Linked DNA regions of Notamacropus eugenii. The protein of the gene in region 2 interacts with the protein of the main gene of each other region in a biochemical or structural test. Links are inferred from orthologs where the notes say so. Each region holds a gene or a part of one and is shown on either strand. Other genes may lie near its edges.

Region 1 (6,930 bases), on a different chromosome or scaffold from region 2:
GAGGCAGCCTGACAAAGTGGTTAGAGGGTGGACCTTGGAGTCAAGTGGACCTGCGTTCAAATCCTGCCTTGATAACATACCAGCTCTGTGGTCATTGGCAAGTCAATTAATCTGTCAATATCCCAGGCACTTCAGGCTGCTCTCATGCTGGAAGGAGTTTCCGCACAGAGAATTCTCCAATGAATTTGCAGACCTCACCTCTCTCCCTCTGCCAGTGTGCCCACTTCACCGACTTGAGAAGTTCAAATAAGAGGCTGTGTATAAAAGTATTTTTCAAACTTTGACTAGTCAGTCAACAAGCGTTTATTAAGCGCTTCTTATGCATCAGGTACTGTTCTAAGAGCTGGGGATATGTGAAAAAAGGCCTCAAAATGCTACCCAAGAAAAATGATTTTAGGACCCTCTAAGGCAGCTCCCTTCTCCCTGCACTTCAGGGCTTCTCTTACCTGAGTTCAAGGAGCCACACGGTCCAGTGGTGCGCTTTTACATTTAACAACTAGCTCTTGGGGGGAGGGGGGTGTGGGGAGAGAATGACACACCTTTAGGGATCATCTGTGTCTTTGACACTTTCTCCATTACTTTGTTAGTTCTGGGCTATCATCAAAACAAAAAATCGAGCCCCTATTCATGGATTTTGCTGATTTCCAAAGTGTAAGCATTCACACTGAAAACATAACAATTGATTTTCAGGAGCTGGCTTCAGCAACCCCCTGGAGCCACCGGAGTAGAGATGGGTTCCCTAAGTTTTCCTCTTCTACTTCGGGTTTATACAGAACTTGCTGGGCTAGGGGGTGGGGTGTATCTTATTCACAACTCAATTCCAGTATTACACTCATGACCAGCCTGGACAGAACTATGAAATTGGAGGAGTTTGTCTTCAGCACTTTCCCACCTCTTCTCTGAGGAAGTGGAAAGGGTGACCTTTGCCCTCATGAGCATTCCAAGTGCCCTCCTCCCAAGACACACACACACACACACAAACTCAAACCCCATTCTTCCATAATTAATATTAACTAATTCATTCAGCAATCATTTATCAAGTACCTAGTATGTGAAATAAATTGTATTAGACAATGGAATAAATCCAAAGATAGATAAGAGAGCGTTGATGCCCTTGTGGGAACTTCAATGATTGTTTCAACCTCAGGGATGTTTTTCATTTTAGGACGACATGATCTCTTAACTAGAGAGACAGATGTTCTAATGGTGGAATATCAGAGAGTTACAATGAAATTAGCCTAGGATTCTTGTTGTACCCTCTAAGTCTTTTCTGCCAGTCTTAGTATTCTAGAAGGTAACTTCCCCTGAGGGTATCATATCTCTGGCTTTCCTTAGCAGAAGGCCCCCTGGGAGGGAGGATGTGTGTGTGCGTATGTGTGTGTGTGTGGGCAGGCAGCATCCCTATTTTTCTCATGGTGAATCATAGTGTTGTAAAAATTCATGACCCTGAGGCAGAAATCTGCCTTGTAGATAGGAAGTCCTTAAAGGATCTCAATTCTTCTTTTCTTTTAAAAATTAGGATTCTGAAATAACTGGACAAAAAGGACTAGATGCACATATACATTCTAACCATTACTCCCAAATCTTCTTCCATCTTCACTAATGTAAACAGGATAAAAGATTTAGAGCTAGAAGGAATCTCTGAGATCATCTGGTCCAAATCCCTCATTTTTCAGAGGATGAGACTGAGGCTAAGGAAGGCAGAAGGGAATTCCCAAAGGTCATTCAGAAAATAAGTGGCAGAACTGGATTCAAACTCATATCCTTAACTCCAAATCCAGTATTTTATTTGATTACACTCTATAGACATAATTAATTTTTCCATTCTGCCCTTTGTTCTGCTTTTTCTCACTTTACCTGATTCCAAAGGTATCTTGATAGAGGGCTAACCTTTGGAGTCAGGAAGATCTGACTTAAATTCTGCCTCTGACATGTACTAGCTGAGTAAGCGTGGACTAGGCACTTTCTCAGTAGCCCAGGCAAACTCTCTTATGAGAAACTGTTCATTGTTTCCATAGGGAGAGTTCTTTATAGATTGAAAGGTATCTTGAACATGGTCTAGTTCAACTTCCTAATTTATAATTGGGAAAATGAGAGGAAGGAAGGGGAAGTGATTGGTCCAAAGGTCCCACAGACAGTAAGTACGCATGTCTACTTCACTTCTCCCCCAACAATCAACATATTTCAGATGACCATTCCACAAGGCTCCATGATCCACATGCTTGTCATTTTCGATAGCTCCATGGTGTTCCATTAAGTTCCTATACAGCAGATTGTTTAACCTTTGCCTTACCATTGGACAATGAAGTTGTTTTTAATTTTTCATAGCCCTGCTGGGTACCTCTTCTTTTCCTCCTATTGACTTAGTTCCTTGGGATCTAGATTTGCTCATGAGGCTGATAGCCTGTTTGAAAGGGGTGGTAAAGCAGAAGGCTAGACAATACTCCCTTTCCTGGGTTTCTAGGCAGTTGCTGCATCCCTACTTTCTCCACCATTATAGCCTAGATCAGGGCATGCACACAGCCCGAAATCCCAATACGAACTACTGACTTGGAGCAGGCAACCCAGGAAGGGTGTGTGGAGAGAGCAAATGGTTTCTGAGCAATAGCGGCAGAGCCAGCCCCCTCCTGTATGAAAAGGAGGGGACACATTGGCAGGAGACTTAAAAACAAACAAACCTTCTTTGAATGACAAATTCAAAGGGGAGGATGGATTATCGAAACAAAAAAAACACATGCATGAATATGGATGCTGGCACACGCGCGCACACACATGCTAGACTGCCTCTAAGATGCCGATAAAATGACTATGGTCATACCTTGTGTGAGAAAGGTGATGGGACATGGGAAGTAATTAGGGATTCAATCAGAAATGCCCAGTACATACCCGTAATTTGATAATGTTGAACTGCCATCACTCCAAGATCCACATGAGGAGTCACATAATGGAGCAGTGACCCCACCAGAGAGGGGGCATCGAGGGGCCCTTGGCAAACCCCTTAATGAAGGTTAATGAACAAGGTGATGGAGGGGACTTGTAAAGGGAGTGCCTGGAGCTGTGGTGTCACTTTCCTCTTTGTTGGGTGTGCATCAGCAGGCGGTGACTTGTCAGAGAGGGCTGAAGGAGGTTGCTAGGTAACCAGGCAGGATGTGGGAGAGGAGACCCTCACTCTTCTCTCTAGCCAGTGTGGGGGAAGCAGGCTGTAGGAGGGCAGGGGTTCTCTGGCAGTCATTCTTTCTCCCAGAATGCAAAACAAATTCCCAACAGGGCAGGGCCCAAAGGTTGGTAGAGGGAGGAGACTGCCCCGAGGAGAAGTAAGCTGCTGAATTAAGGGTAGAGGTTTTTAACCTCTTCTGTGTGTCATGGCCCCCTCCAGCAGTCTGGAAAGCCTACGAAACCCCTTCTCCGAATAAGGTTTTTAAATACAGAAAATAATATACATAGCATCACAAAGCAAACTAATTATATGAAATTCAGTTATCAAAAGATACATTTTTTTTTTAAAACAAGATCGCAGACCCCAGGGGAAGAACCTGATATAGGTTAAAATAAGGGAAAGAACAAAAAAGGAAACATATCCCCCTATAAAAACATAGGCTTAAAGGGTTAAAAAGGGGGAAAGGGAGAAAGGTCAAGAAGAGAAGAGATATCTTTATCAGGGAGGGCAGCGGCTTTGTCTTTGGCCTTGATGTGGCTGTGTGCTGTGGGTAGTGTGAAAGAGGATGTTGCCTGGACTTGGAGGCCTTGGATTTCAATCCAAGCTCCACTGCTTTTCACTTGTGTGTCCTTGGGCAAATTCCATAACATGTCTGGATCTTAGTTCCCTCCTTAGGGTCTCTGAGTCTTACAAACTTGAGTAATAACTGATGAGAAAGTCATGAGACCAGACTTTTGTTGATTTTGAATAAGTATTCTAGAACGTTTGGAGGTTCTGAAATCCACCTAAATCAGGTCCTTAATTTTTTTTGAGTCAGAGATCCCTTTGTCAGTCTGGTGAAACCGGGACTCCTTAGTATACTGGTTTTATACCATCAAAGAATGTAAGATTTGGAAAGGAAATCAATTAGATTGAAATGTAGTTATCAAAATATGGTCATGGACTCCAGGTTAAGAACTCCTGCTCTAAGTATTAAAGTAATCTCCCAATGGTGCTGTGCTGTACTGACCAGAACCTATAACATTTGAGACCTCAAATTGAAAGAGACTTTAGAAGTCACAGTCCCAAATCCTCATTTTACAGAACTGTGGTCTAGAAAAGAGAATTGACTTTAAATGCTTACAAAGTAAGTAAAATGTAATGGAGGTTCAGAGTCAGGATTGGAACTCAGAACTCCAGACCCAGAATGTTTCCTACTGTACTACTCTCCCAATACAGACAAATGAATGTTGGAAAAATTCCCGAGTCTTTAACCTTTGGAAATCAACTTCACCTGATCAGAGAGGACGAGGGAAAAAACCCTCATTCCAAAATACTATTTGTGAAAAGAAAATTAAACAACAAAACAAAAGGGCAATCAATCCCTCAAATAACAGCACAGTGGAACTTCCTCTTCTCTCTCAGACTCTGGAGGCTTTCATTTTCAAAGAAGTAGTCAAATGACTGATGAGGGGGCATAGCCTGGGAACCTGAGCCTGGGATGCTATCAGATAGAAAACTGGGAAGATTCTGCTTCAGACAGAACCACGATCCAGAGAGTTTGGGAACAATAATAGGGTCTGAACTGCCCTGTCCATATTTTTCCCTATGTGATACCTTTCCTATAAACATGGGTTACCTACTTGTGTCTCACTTACCCAACAGATGGAAAAGTGGAAAAGTGATGGGGCTCTACCCATACTTGAAGCCAGAGTGCATCCAAGGACACTTACCAAAACAATTTTCTGAGTATATAGTCACTGCCTTCATTTTTAGGAGAACCAGTGCAAGGCTTGGAGAAGCTTCCCCGTTATCTTTCTTCTGATATAGCTTCTTTCCCATAGTTGGCCTTACCAATGCTGCCCTAAACTGATTTGGGTTAATCTAAGGGAGATGTTCTAAATCTAGCGTGGACATGTCCCCAAATGGTCTATGGATATATTTCAGAGGATCCATGAACTTGGATGGGGAAAAGTTTCTATCTTTGTTTCAGCATAATTAGTTTGTTGTGTAATCTTTTTTAAAATTGTATTTTATGTATTTATACATATTATTCAGAGATAGAGTCAGTCAGTCCATAGACGTCACCAAATTGCCAAAGAGGTGTCAATACCAACAACAACAAAAAAAGGTTCAGCATCCCTCTTCCTCAAGGAGCTCACTTTCTAATGGGGAAGACAACATGCAAACTCTTTACAGAAAAAGAAGGAAAAAAGGATGAATTGCAATTAATAATATAATAGTATAATATTAATTTCTCTTAAGGTTTTATTTAGTCCCTCAGGTAATCAGACTTCCTATTATACCCTCTTTCTAATTAAAATGCATTTTAACCTAGTAAATGGGAACAGCAATTTATAACTTATTTTAAGTGAAATTGGGTGATTTGGTTGATTTACTCATAGGACCTCCCCTCTGCCTGACAGATGCAACATTTTAAATTTCTATTGAAGTCACATTCCTGGAAGTTATTTGGGGTTAGAATTTTCCTATCACCAAACTTCCTGAGGGCAGTGCTTTTACCAATACATTCAAGACTTGTTGGTCAGAGCCACATCATCCATGTAGTGAGATAGTATCCACAAAAGCAGGCCAGGCCAATTCTTAGGAGGCCAGGCCAATCAATGGGCATCATTTCCTCTCATTGCAGAAAAGTGTAAAATGTGCAGGTTCCCAAACTAACCAGAAAGCCAATGCCTTAAACTGTGCTCCTTTAGTGAGTCCATTATGGTCAACCTCTTCATATTAGTGTAGCCATATTCTCAACCAAAAAATAGAATAATTATCTCCAAAGAGTACTTGATAATGTGTCTTTTGTGTGTACTGTCCTCATGAAGTAATACAGACATATATTTCTTCTGTCCACACCTTCTTTCTCTCTTTCCTGGGCCATTCTTCTAACCCTGGAGGCCAGGACTGGTCCTGGAGTCAGGAAGCACAGAGTTCAAATCATGCCTCAGTCCCTTACTAGCTGATGGCCCTGGGTAAGACATTTAATCTCTGTTTGCTTTAGTTTCCTCAATGGTAAAACAGGGCTAATGAGAGCACCCAGCTCTCAGAGTTGTTGTGAGGATCAAATGAGATAGAATGTGTAAAGTGCTTAGCCTGGCACATAGTAGGCACTAATAAGTCCTTCCTCCCTCCCTCCCTTCCTTCTTTCTTCTATTCAAAATTCCCCCAAATTTTCAGAAGACTGAAGGTAAAATGGTCCCTAGGAACTTAAAAAAAAAATTAAAAACACTAATAGCAGGATATTTGGTAAAGATTCATTTTAATGTGTTAGCAGATCCATTTATTCATAAAGTTTCACTGGTATTAAAAAAAATTACACCACAGTCAATGACTGATATTACTACTGCCATCATAAAAATCTCCCCAGTAACAAAGAAAAAAATTACAGTCAATAGACACAGAAACCAAGCCTGATAGCATGGCACATTCTCTCCTCAATGGTCCCCTCTATCTCTCTAACTCTACCGGTGGAGGGAAATACGTTGAATTATCCTTCAGAACCAAGATCGGTTGTTTCATCAGGTTTTAGTGTTGTTTTCCTTTCCATCACTGTAGTCATTGCAAAGCTGGTAGGATCTAGGTGACTCACTTAAAAGAAACTCTTTGGATTCTTTGTGGTACCAAAAACATCGGAAACAAAGTAGATGTTAACTGGGAATATAAGTAAGAAATAATGGATATGAGGATTTCAGAGAAACACTGGACAACTTGTGGGAATTGGAAGTAATATGCAAATTAAAACACTCAAATGAAGACACGCTGAATAATTCTAATGACTAAGC
Region 2 (8,050 bases):
TATCTTCTTCCCTTCCTCACCCACCACATGCTGGGAAATCACAAGATGGGAAGGGGGAGGGCTGCCAAGCACCATTCTTGGGCTTCTGTGGCTAAGTACACTGTTGTGGGGTGGAGAATAAAGAGAGAAGACACTGAGGTCCCAAAGACTTGACTTGGAGGATTAGGGGAACAGGGAGGAGGCCAGTCTGTTGAAGACCTCCCCCTAGGAGCCAGGTTCTTCTGGAGGTCTTTTCCTGTCACCTCCCCGACTCACTTGTTAGACCAGTTTGGGAATAGGGGAGTATTCTTGACATCCCATATTAGGGGTGAAAAAGCTGGGGTTAGCTCTTGTGGGGGTTATATGCTACTCTCACTGTGGACCCCAAGCTCAGTCCCCGTTCCCTACTCCCAGCTTTCCTCCCTAGTTATCCATCCTTTACTAGCTCCCACAAGGTATCAAATCCCCTAGAACATGTGAGACCTTTAACCCTAGCAGAATGGCTATTGCCCAGTTCAAGTCAGATGAAATTGGAAGAATAAATGCCCTGAGGCTGCTCCCCCTCCCTACCCCCAACTCTGCAGAAGAAAACCTGGAATCCTGTGGATGAAAGGGAATCAAACGGTACGAGTGACCATGTATATTTATGCCTGTGAGAGTACGAGTGCTTCTGTGTGTGTATGTGTGTCTCCATCCCTCCACTCCCTTGTTTTTCCTCAGTGACTTGTAGTTCGAATATTCCACATTTTTGTTTCTCTGGTCTTTGTTGAAAACTCAAGGGGAGGGGGAAACAGTTCTCTCCTTCCCGTCTAATGCTTTTTGTGTTATGACAAGGAAGTCATTCCCATTGGGGGTGGGAGGGGGCAGGGATCTTGCTGGCTACCTATAGTCCACTAATCGGGCAAAAGGGTCCTTCCTAATAGGACTCTTGAGAGGAGACTTTTTGCCAAAGACAACTGCAATGAAGATAAAAAGAAGAGAGAGGAACAAACCCTGTATTATGTCTGCCTTCTTGGGAAATCCCTCATGCCTCTCCCTTCCCTCAGCCTCTGACCTTGGGCTGATTAAATGGTTCAGTTTGACTTCTCTCAGAGTTTCCACTTTGAGCCCTGTCTTCTGCTTGGGTACTGCTTCTAAAGGCGAAATAAGACTTTTATCCTTCAGGCTTTGAGGGGTAGGCCCCTCTACACACACATTCTTTCCTTGCTGGGGGAGGTGGGGGGGGTGGGGCTGTCTGAGCTGGAGAGGCCACTCCAACCCCAGCCTGCCTTTTTTCTCAGCCTCCCTAGGCTACCTGTTGACTTGTTGACTCTGCTGCCCTAGAAACCCTCCTCCTCTCTTGCTTCTGCCAGGTCCCTCCCCATACTCCAAAGACAGGATCTTGGTGCTTCTAAGAACAGAAGGTCAGTGACAGACCCCCCCACAGGCTTGTCCTTCACTCTGGATAGCCATCCCCCAAAGAAAACTGACTGTAATGATTTTATTGATCCCTACCACTTACTGCTATCCAGGGACTTTTCCATATGGCTTTGTCAGTAGGACAGGAGAGCTGAATGGACACTCGAGAAAGTCAGGAACACCATGTTCTCAGGAGGCTGGTTTGATACATATTGGGCCACTCCCTGAAGAGACAGATTTCCTCCCCACCTCCCCCCATTAGCAGGGCATTCCTCTAGGACAAAGCCTTTTGCCCTCTTCAGCCTCAATAGAGGATTCTGAGGAAACTGAAGCACAGGGCAGGACCACATCTTGCCAAGGACAGCTGAGAAGAACGCAGGTATCCAGGTCCCTAGCATCCTTTCCAGCCACCAATAAAGACCAGAATTTTGGGGGAAAAGAAGAGCAGTGGTTTTCTACCCATCTACCACCACCACCACTACTACCACTCCCACATCCCCTCAACCTCACAGGAAGGTAAAGGCTGCCAACTCCAGTCACAGAAAAGCTCCAGATGTATAGCTATAGTGAATGGTCTCTCCAGAACCTCTCCCCAGTCAAGCCTCCTTCTTGGGTCCTAGGAAAACTTCCTTGGTTCCTTCCATTTACACTGGGCATAGTGTGAGGCAGCTCCTAAGGGTGAACCATGGATTTCCTCTGAAAGAGTTCAGGACAGATGGGACAGGGGTTGGGATGAAGGTGGTGTGAGAAATGAGCCCATCTTACAAGCCCCGAACTGTGAGAAACATGCTTTCCTTAAAAAAGGAACAATGCCTGTTGTGAAGCCAGGAAAGCCTTTATTAATCTTTACTTCCATCCATTCCCCCTGAATGGACAGGTAGCCTCCCCAGTAAGGTTACAGGATGACTATAACACGTTCAGGAAAATGGAACTTCTTATACTGTTTTCCGAACTTTGGATCTCCCTCGACACTGTCCCCTGGTCATGTGACTTTATGTTCTCTGTGATGGGCTTTCCTTCAAACAGCTCATCAAGCCTGTGAGGTTTCTGACCTTTACCTGACCATCCTAGGTCATGACTGTGGAAACAGAACTTCCTTGTTTCCCACAGTGGTAAGAAGAATAATTAATTCTTCAGGTCATAAAGCCTTAGTTCTCTATTAACACTCAGCAACATACAACCAAAGACACAAGGAATGCTCTTAGGAATATGTGGAAAGAGACAAACCCAAAGACAAACCCACATACTTATTTCCAAGTATACCTATATATAGGCACAGAAAAAAAGGAGACACAGTGTACTGCATGCACAAGGTACATTTAGAAAAAGAAAACCAATACATGTAGACACAAAAAGAGCTGAATTTCAGAAAGACCCTCACAGTTCTCTCTTGACCCAGCTGCACACTCTTTCTAGACTAAACCTTCCCAGGGCCTCCCACCCCCTTAAGGTCAGGAAGAAGGGGAGCTCGGAGACAACTTTGTTTAGAAACTTGAGCTGTTGGCCAGAGGCACTGGGTAGCAGCTCCTCCAGTGGACACAATCCCACATGGCATTTGGGTGGGGCTACAAGTGTGGGGGGGAGTTTTGAAGAGATGCTTGGTTATGGAACTTGGAAACTCACATTTTAAAAGGAGCCATTGAGTTCTGTAGTTCCCCTCTTTTTTTGTGCCTCAATTTCCCCCTCTGTAGAATGGCAGCAACATTGCCCCCAGCTCCCAGTGATGGAAAGGACTTTTGGGTCAGTTTTCTTTAACCCAGAATGGCCCCACAGAGATGGAATGTCCAATTTTCTGGAGGAAGGAGTGGTTCCCATAAGCCCAACCCCGAAAAAAGTGGGGAACTGAGCCTGGATACAAAATGTTCTGGAGAAAGTCTGGTTCCACACCCCATGTCATAGTTTGGGGATAGGTCAGGAAACCTGATCCTATCCCCCACCCCTCCATACACACACCTCTCAAGCCTTTTCTGGGCCCCAGACAAGACTAGAATACCCAGTTCAGCAGGTAAGAGGGGGTATTCCACCTGTTTTTTTCTGCTACATTTCAGTGAGGGCATCAGTTTGTGCAAAATTCATCTCTACAGGTCTTTTGAGTCAGAGATATGGGAACAGGATCGGGCAAATCCCAGGAGCAGACACCCTGCAGGCTGATGTGGTTCTGTTGGGCTGAGAAGGGGTGGTGCTGTCAGTTCTGGGCCCCTGCACTTGTTTACATTTACTCTCCTCTACCTTTGGGAGAGGGAGCTCAGTAAAGCTGTCAGTCCATGTGGGTGACTAAACCTACTGCACTGTTGGTGACTCAGCTCCACTGGTCTCCTGGCTGACTGACCACTATGTCACTGGCAATGTACATTTCCCACTGAGTCTGACCTTGGTTTGGCTGAAACTCAGATTCTTGATCCACTTCTGAACTCTGCCTCTACCCTTGGGAACACAGCAGGCGGTTGTAATTGGGAACAGGAAGCATTGTTCAAACTCTCAGGCTAGTTGAAGCCTTTTCTAGTTCTGCACATCTTTTCCACCCAGGCTAGGCAGGGACCTTTCCAAAGTTTACTCATTAACAGCCTAGAATGCCAGACCATTGGATAATTTCCTTTCCCTTAGTGACCAAGAAGGGATCAATTATGGGATGGGTGGCTTCAGATTCAAGCCCAGAGCTTTTTAAAGAATCTCTGAAAATGGAGAACACTAATATTTTGAGTCTAATAATAACAACCTGGGGACCCAGGTCCATCCTGCGTTTTGGGGGGTGTTTTAGCTTGTCAACAGACTTTCTTATAGGCCAGGTATCTTTCTCAATTACCACTTTCTTCTGAGTCATTTCAAGATTCCTTAGCCACAGGTTTACTAGAATGGGGGCCAGTTAATCAGCGACAATAAGATTTTGGAGTCTGCTGACTCCTAGGGATCCAGCATTATCACATGGATAATAGGAACTAATGAATTGCATTGACTGACTAATACCGACCCAGCCTAACAACACAAGTTGATTGACCTCGTTGCCTCAGTTGTCTCCTTTGTAAAATAAGGGGGTTGGATGAGATGATCTGGAAGGTCTCTTCTAGCTCTGAATCCTACAATCCTACCATGGGGACATTGACTGAATAAGACAGAGTTATTGATACTGAACAGACAGATGCTGACAGATAAGACAGACTGACTGACACAGATCACCACGCAGTATTGGACGCTGACGGGGAGTGACCATCACACAGGTGAGTGTCCGGACAGACGGTCTGACTGAGGGCAGGAGTGAACAAGACTGAATGAATGGCTGCCCATAGGCAGGGGCTGCCCAAACAGGTAGGGGCTGAGCGGCCAGCCCCGCAGCAGCCCGGGCTAGCGAGACAAGGGACGGCCGGGATGGAGGCAGTAGATGACCAGCAGGCAGAGGCTAAGCAGACAGGCTGCGGCGGACGAGTTTCAGCTCCCACCCGGAGGGAGATCTGGGTCCCCAGGACTCATCCTCCTCTGCAGGGCTCAGGATCTAATGGCTGCCTTTCCCCTCTTCTTCATCCTAGGCTCGGAGCTCCCGAGAGGCACGTTGGGCCAGTCCATTTCTTCTCCCCCTCTCTCTTCGCCGCCGATGGTACAGGCCGCTCCTCTCTCCCCTCGGGCACCACGGGATGACGCCCACCGACCTCCTCCTTCCCCCTCCCCCTGCAGCACCGCGTGAGGCGGGGAGCCGAAGGGACTGCCCCGGAGGGGAGGGGAGTCGGAGCGGGGGGCGGGGGCCTCCATTTCCAATTGCCTCCCCCCGCCGGGACTTACATTTGGTACCGTCCTTCCCGGAATGGTCGCTTCGGCTCCCGCACCCCGTCGCCGGCCAGCCACCCCCTTCCCAGTTGGTATATCCCTCTCCTCTCCCCCTTCCCCCTCCCCTCTCGGCGGTTCTGGTTTCCGCGCGAAAAGCCGGCGGTCCGCGCGCTAGCCCCTGCGCGACCGGAGCCGGCTCCCTTCCGTCCCCCGGCCCGCTCCCTGCTCCCCACTCGGACCCGCGAGATGCCCGCCCGCACCGGTCCGGCCCCGGTGGCCGCGCCGGGCTCGCCCGGGCTCCCGCTGCCGGAGGAGGTCCGCAGACGGTAAGTGCCGCTCGCCCCCGGACTGCCGGGGCTCGGGCCGCGCTGGGCCTGGCTGGGCCGGTGTAGCGTCGCGCGGGCCGCCTGACAGGCCGGGCCGGAGGCGGGTCGGGCTCCAAGTCGGGGCGCGGGGCTCGCGCGCCCCGGCGGTTGGCCGTTGGCGGGGCTCGCGGCCGCGGGTCCCCTCCGGGGGCGTCGGTCCGCGAGGGCCCCGTCCGGCGTAGCTGCCGCTGCCGCCCTCCCCGCTCCCCGGGACATTTGGCGCCAAAACGCCGTGTCGGGTCGCGGAGGTGCGTGAGGAGGGAGAGGGGCGGCCCGGACCTGGGGCCGCTCCGACCTGCCCGTGGCCTTGGCCCCCGGGCTGGGCTGTCAGCTGGAGCCCGGTTAGGCTGCGGGCGTTGGGGGGCGCCCGTGAAGGCGGAGGCGCCGGGGTCCGGCGGTGCCAGTGACAGGAAGTGGGGGGCCCGGCCTGGGGGGCCCCCATCGCCTGCTCGTGCCCCGGCGGGGGCCGGGAATGGTCGTCTGGGACGTGGGGCTGCAGCCGGGAGGCCGCATTTGACCCACGCGAGAGCCGGGGCGCAGGCCTCCCCAGCCCCCATGGGGCCTTCCCCCTCCATCCTCTGGGTCGGGGTGGGCTTGCCCCGGCCTCCCTTCCTGAGGCATTCATTCTTGGGGCACGAGGTGGAGACGGGAGAACTGCCCCAGGCATGGGTTTCCCCTACCGCAGGATCAGTACCCGGCTGGTATTTCTCCTCGGTTTGTCCCTGGTGCCTGTGAAGACACGTGAAATGCCCCCTGGAGCCGTCTTTAGTCTCTTTCATGAAATTAATAGCAGAATCACTCATTTAGAAGGATTATTTTATCGTGTTTCCCTGCAGATTGACTGGTAGCGTTTGATTGTGTCTGTTGTGGGTAATTATGATAGCTAATACAAGGTTTCTGGGAAGGACCCTTCTCGCGGATCTAGTCGTTGGTTTGCTTTCTTTCTTTCCAGTGCCATTACAACTAATTAATTAGTTACAATTGTCTTTATTGTGGAAGGATAACCCGTGATTATTTTGTTTGTTACTGTAATTTATGGTTTTATTTTTTTCTTGGAAGGTGATTATGAACATGTGCAGGTAACTAAAGTGATTAGCACAGAGGTCAACTGCCTCGTCTACGTTGGCAGGAATTTTTCTGCGGACCCCGAGTGTCATCTCATTTTTAAAAAGTGTATTCTTATTGGGTGGCTTTGAGATTTTTGCCACCATGTTTAGTGGTTAGAGCCAAGAACTTCAAGTTTATCCTGGCTCTCCAGTGATTCACCAGGTGACCTTCGGCAACAAACTAAATCTCCCCCTCACTTGTCCCCATTTCAGGGAGGAGAAAATACTTACTTACATCGCAAGAGTTGCTATGATTAGTAAGGTCTTGGTATCATACATCTTCAAAGTGTAATATTAGGTATCTGATTACTTGATGTTATTTTAAATATTGTTTTAAGAGGGAGACACAGCTCCTAGCACCAAAAAGAAAAACCTATTTAATTATGCTTTGATGTTATTTTCATCAAGGCACTGAAGAAATGAATGAGTTTTAAATCTTAGTTGATGAGTTTAGAGTGCTGTGTTTGAGAGAGATGGTATAGAAACATTTTACACATTGTGCTTAGAGACCTTAAAGCAAATTCTTTCTGATTTCTTGGTATCCTCCCTAGGTTCTCAACTTAAACAATTCAAAGTGAGAGTTCTTTACAATTTGTCTTAAAACTTGAGGATCACTTTGTATCATAGTATGCAAAGTACAATAATGAGAATAGGTAAGATTTTGCTTAGTTTTGTTAATATTTGGATTAGGGGTTGGAAGACCTGCTCTGGTTCTGTATCTGTTACTTTTCTAGGTAACTTTGGGCAAGTCACTTTGAATCATATATTTAGAATGGATCTTGAAAGTCTTCTAGGCTTACCTCCTGTCTGATTAATGACTTCCCCCTCTCTTTCATCCCCATCTCTGCTAAGTTCAAGTTCTGGGTTGAATACCTCCATTTGATATTTTGATAGGGAATTTACTATCTTCTGACCTTGCTTTGTTAGAAAATTCTTACATATATTCATTCAGTTGTAAGTTGCTCAGTTACTCTTTTCAGATGCCACACTGAATTAGTAGAACATGGTTTAGTGAGAAAAGAGAAAACACTTTTCATTTCAGGATTACTTTTAGAATATCAGAGATGCAGAGTTAGAAGGGACATTCATTGATCATTGGTCTTAACACTACCAAGAGTGAGCTGGTCAGGTTTTCAGTATCCCTGAGAAGTGATTGTCCTGTTTCTGCCTAAGAACTTCGAGTATTGAAATGAGACTGAGGATAGCTCCAGAGTTCGCATTTATTTGGTGCTTTTTAGGTTAGAATGTGCTATCCTCAGAGAAACCCTGTAAAATACATAGGATATATACTAATCTTAGAATGAAAAGGGGCCTCCATAGCCAATGTCAGAATCAGGACTGGGATCATAGGCCTTCTCTGATTCCACTACAATGTCCTTCCCTCTTCCAATTGGTTTTTAAATAGCTTTTCATTTGCATTCTTTTATTATTGTAATTATTTGACTT

Evidence for each region.
Region 1: of the proteins of DNA (cytosine-5)-methyltransferase 1 (region 2) and SETD7, one has a biochemical effect on the other in vitro, tested with the Homo sapiens proteins (2 studies listed by BioGRID and IntAct, with this or other methods). The link is inferred for Notamacropus eugenii from reciprocal best matches to the Homo sapiens genes DNMT1 and SETD7.

What each region holds. Positions count from the first base shown.
Region 1 is NC_092877.1:136,236,934-136,243,863, forward strand, and holds the start of SETD7 (histone-lysine N-methyltransferase SETD7), read right to left. Parts: upstream 3,027-6,930; 5' UTR 2,887-3,026; intron 1-2,886. UniProt on the Homo sapiens protein: Histone methyltransferase that specifically monomethylates 'Lys-4' of histone H3. H3 'Lys-4' methylation represents a specific tag for epigenetic transcriptional activation.
Region 2 is NC_092875.1:79,919,944-79,927,993, forward strand, and holds the start of DNA (cytosine-5)-methyltransferase 1, read left to right. Parts: upstream 1-5,021; 5' UTR 5,022-5,379; coding exon 5,380-5,459; intron 5,460-5,662; exon of another isoform or gene 5,663-5,746; intron 5,747-8,050. UniProt on the Homo sapiens protein: Methylates CpG residues. Preferentially methylates hemimethylated DNA. Associates with DNA replication sites in S phase maintaining the methylation pattern in the newly synthesized strand, that is essential for epigenetic inheritance.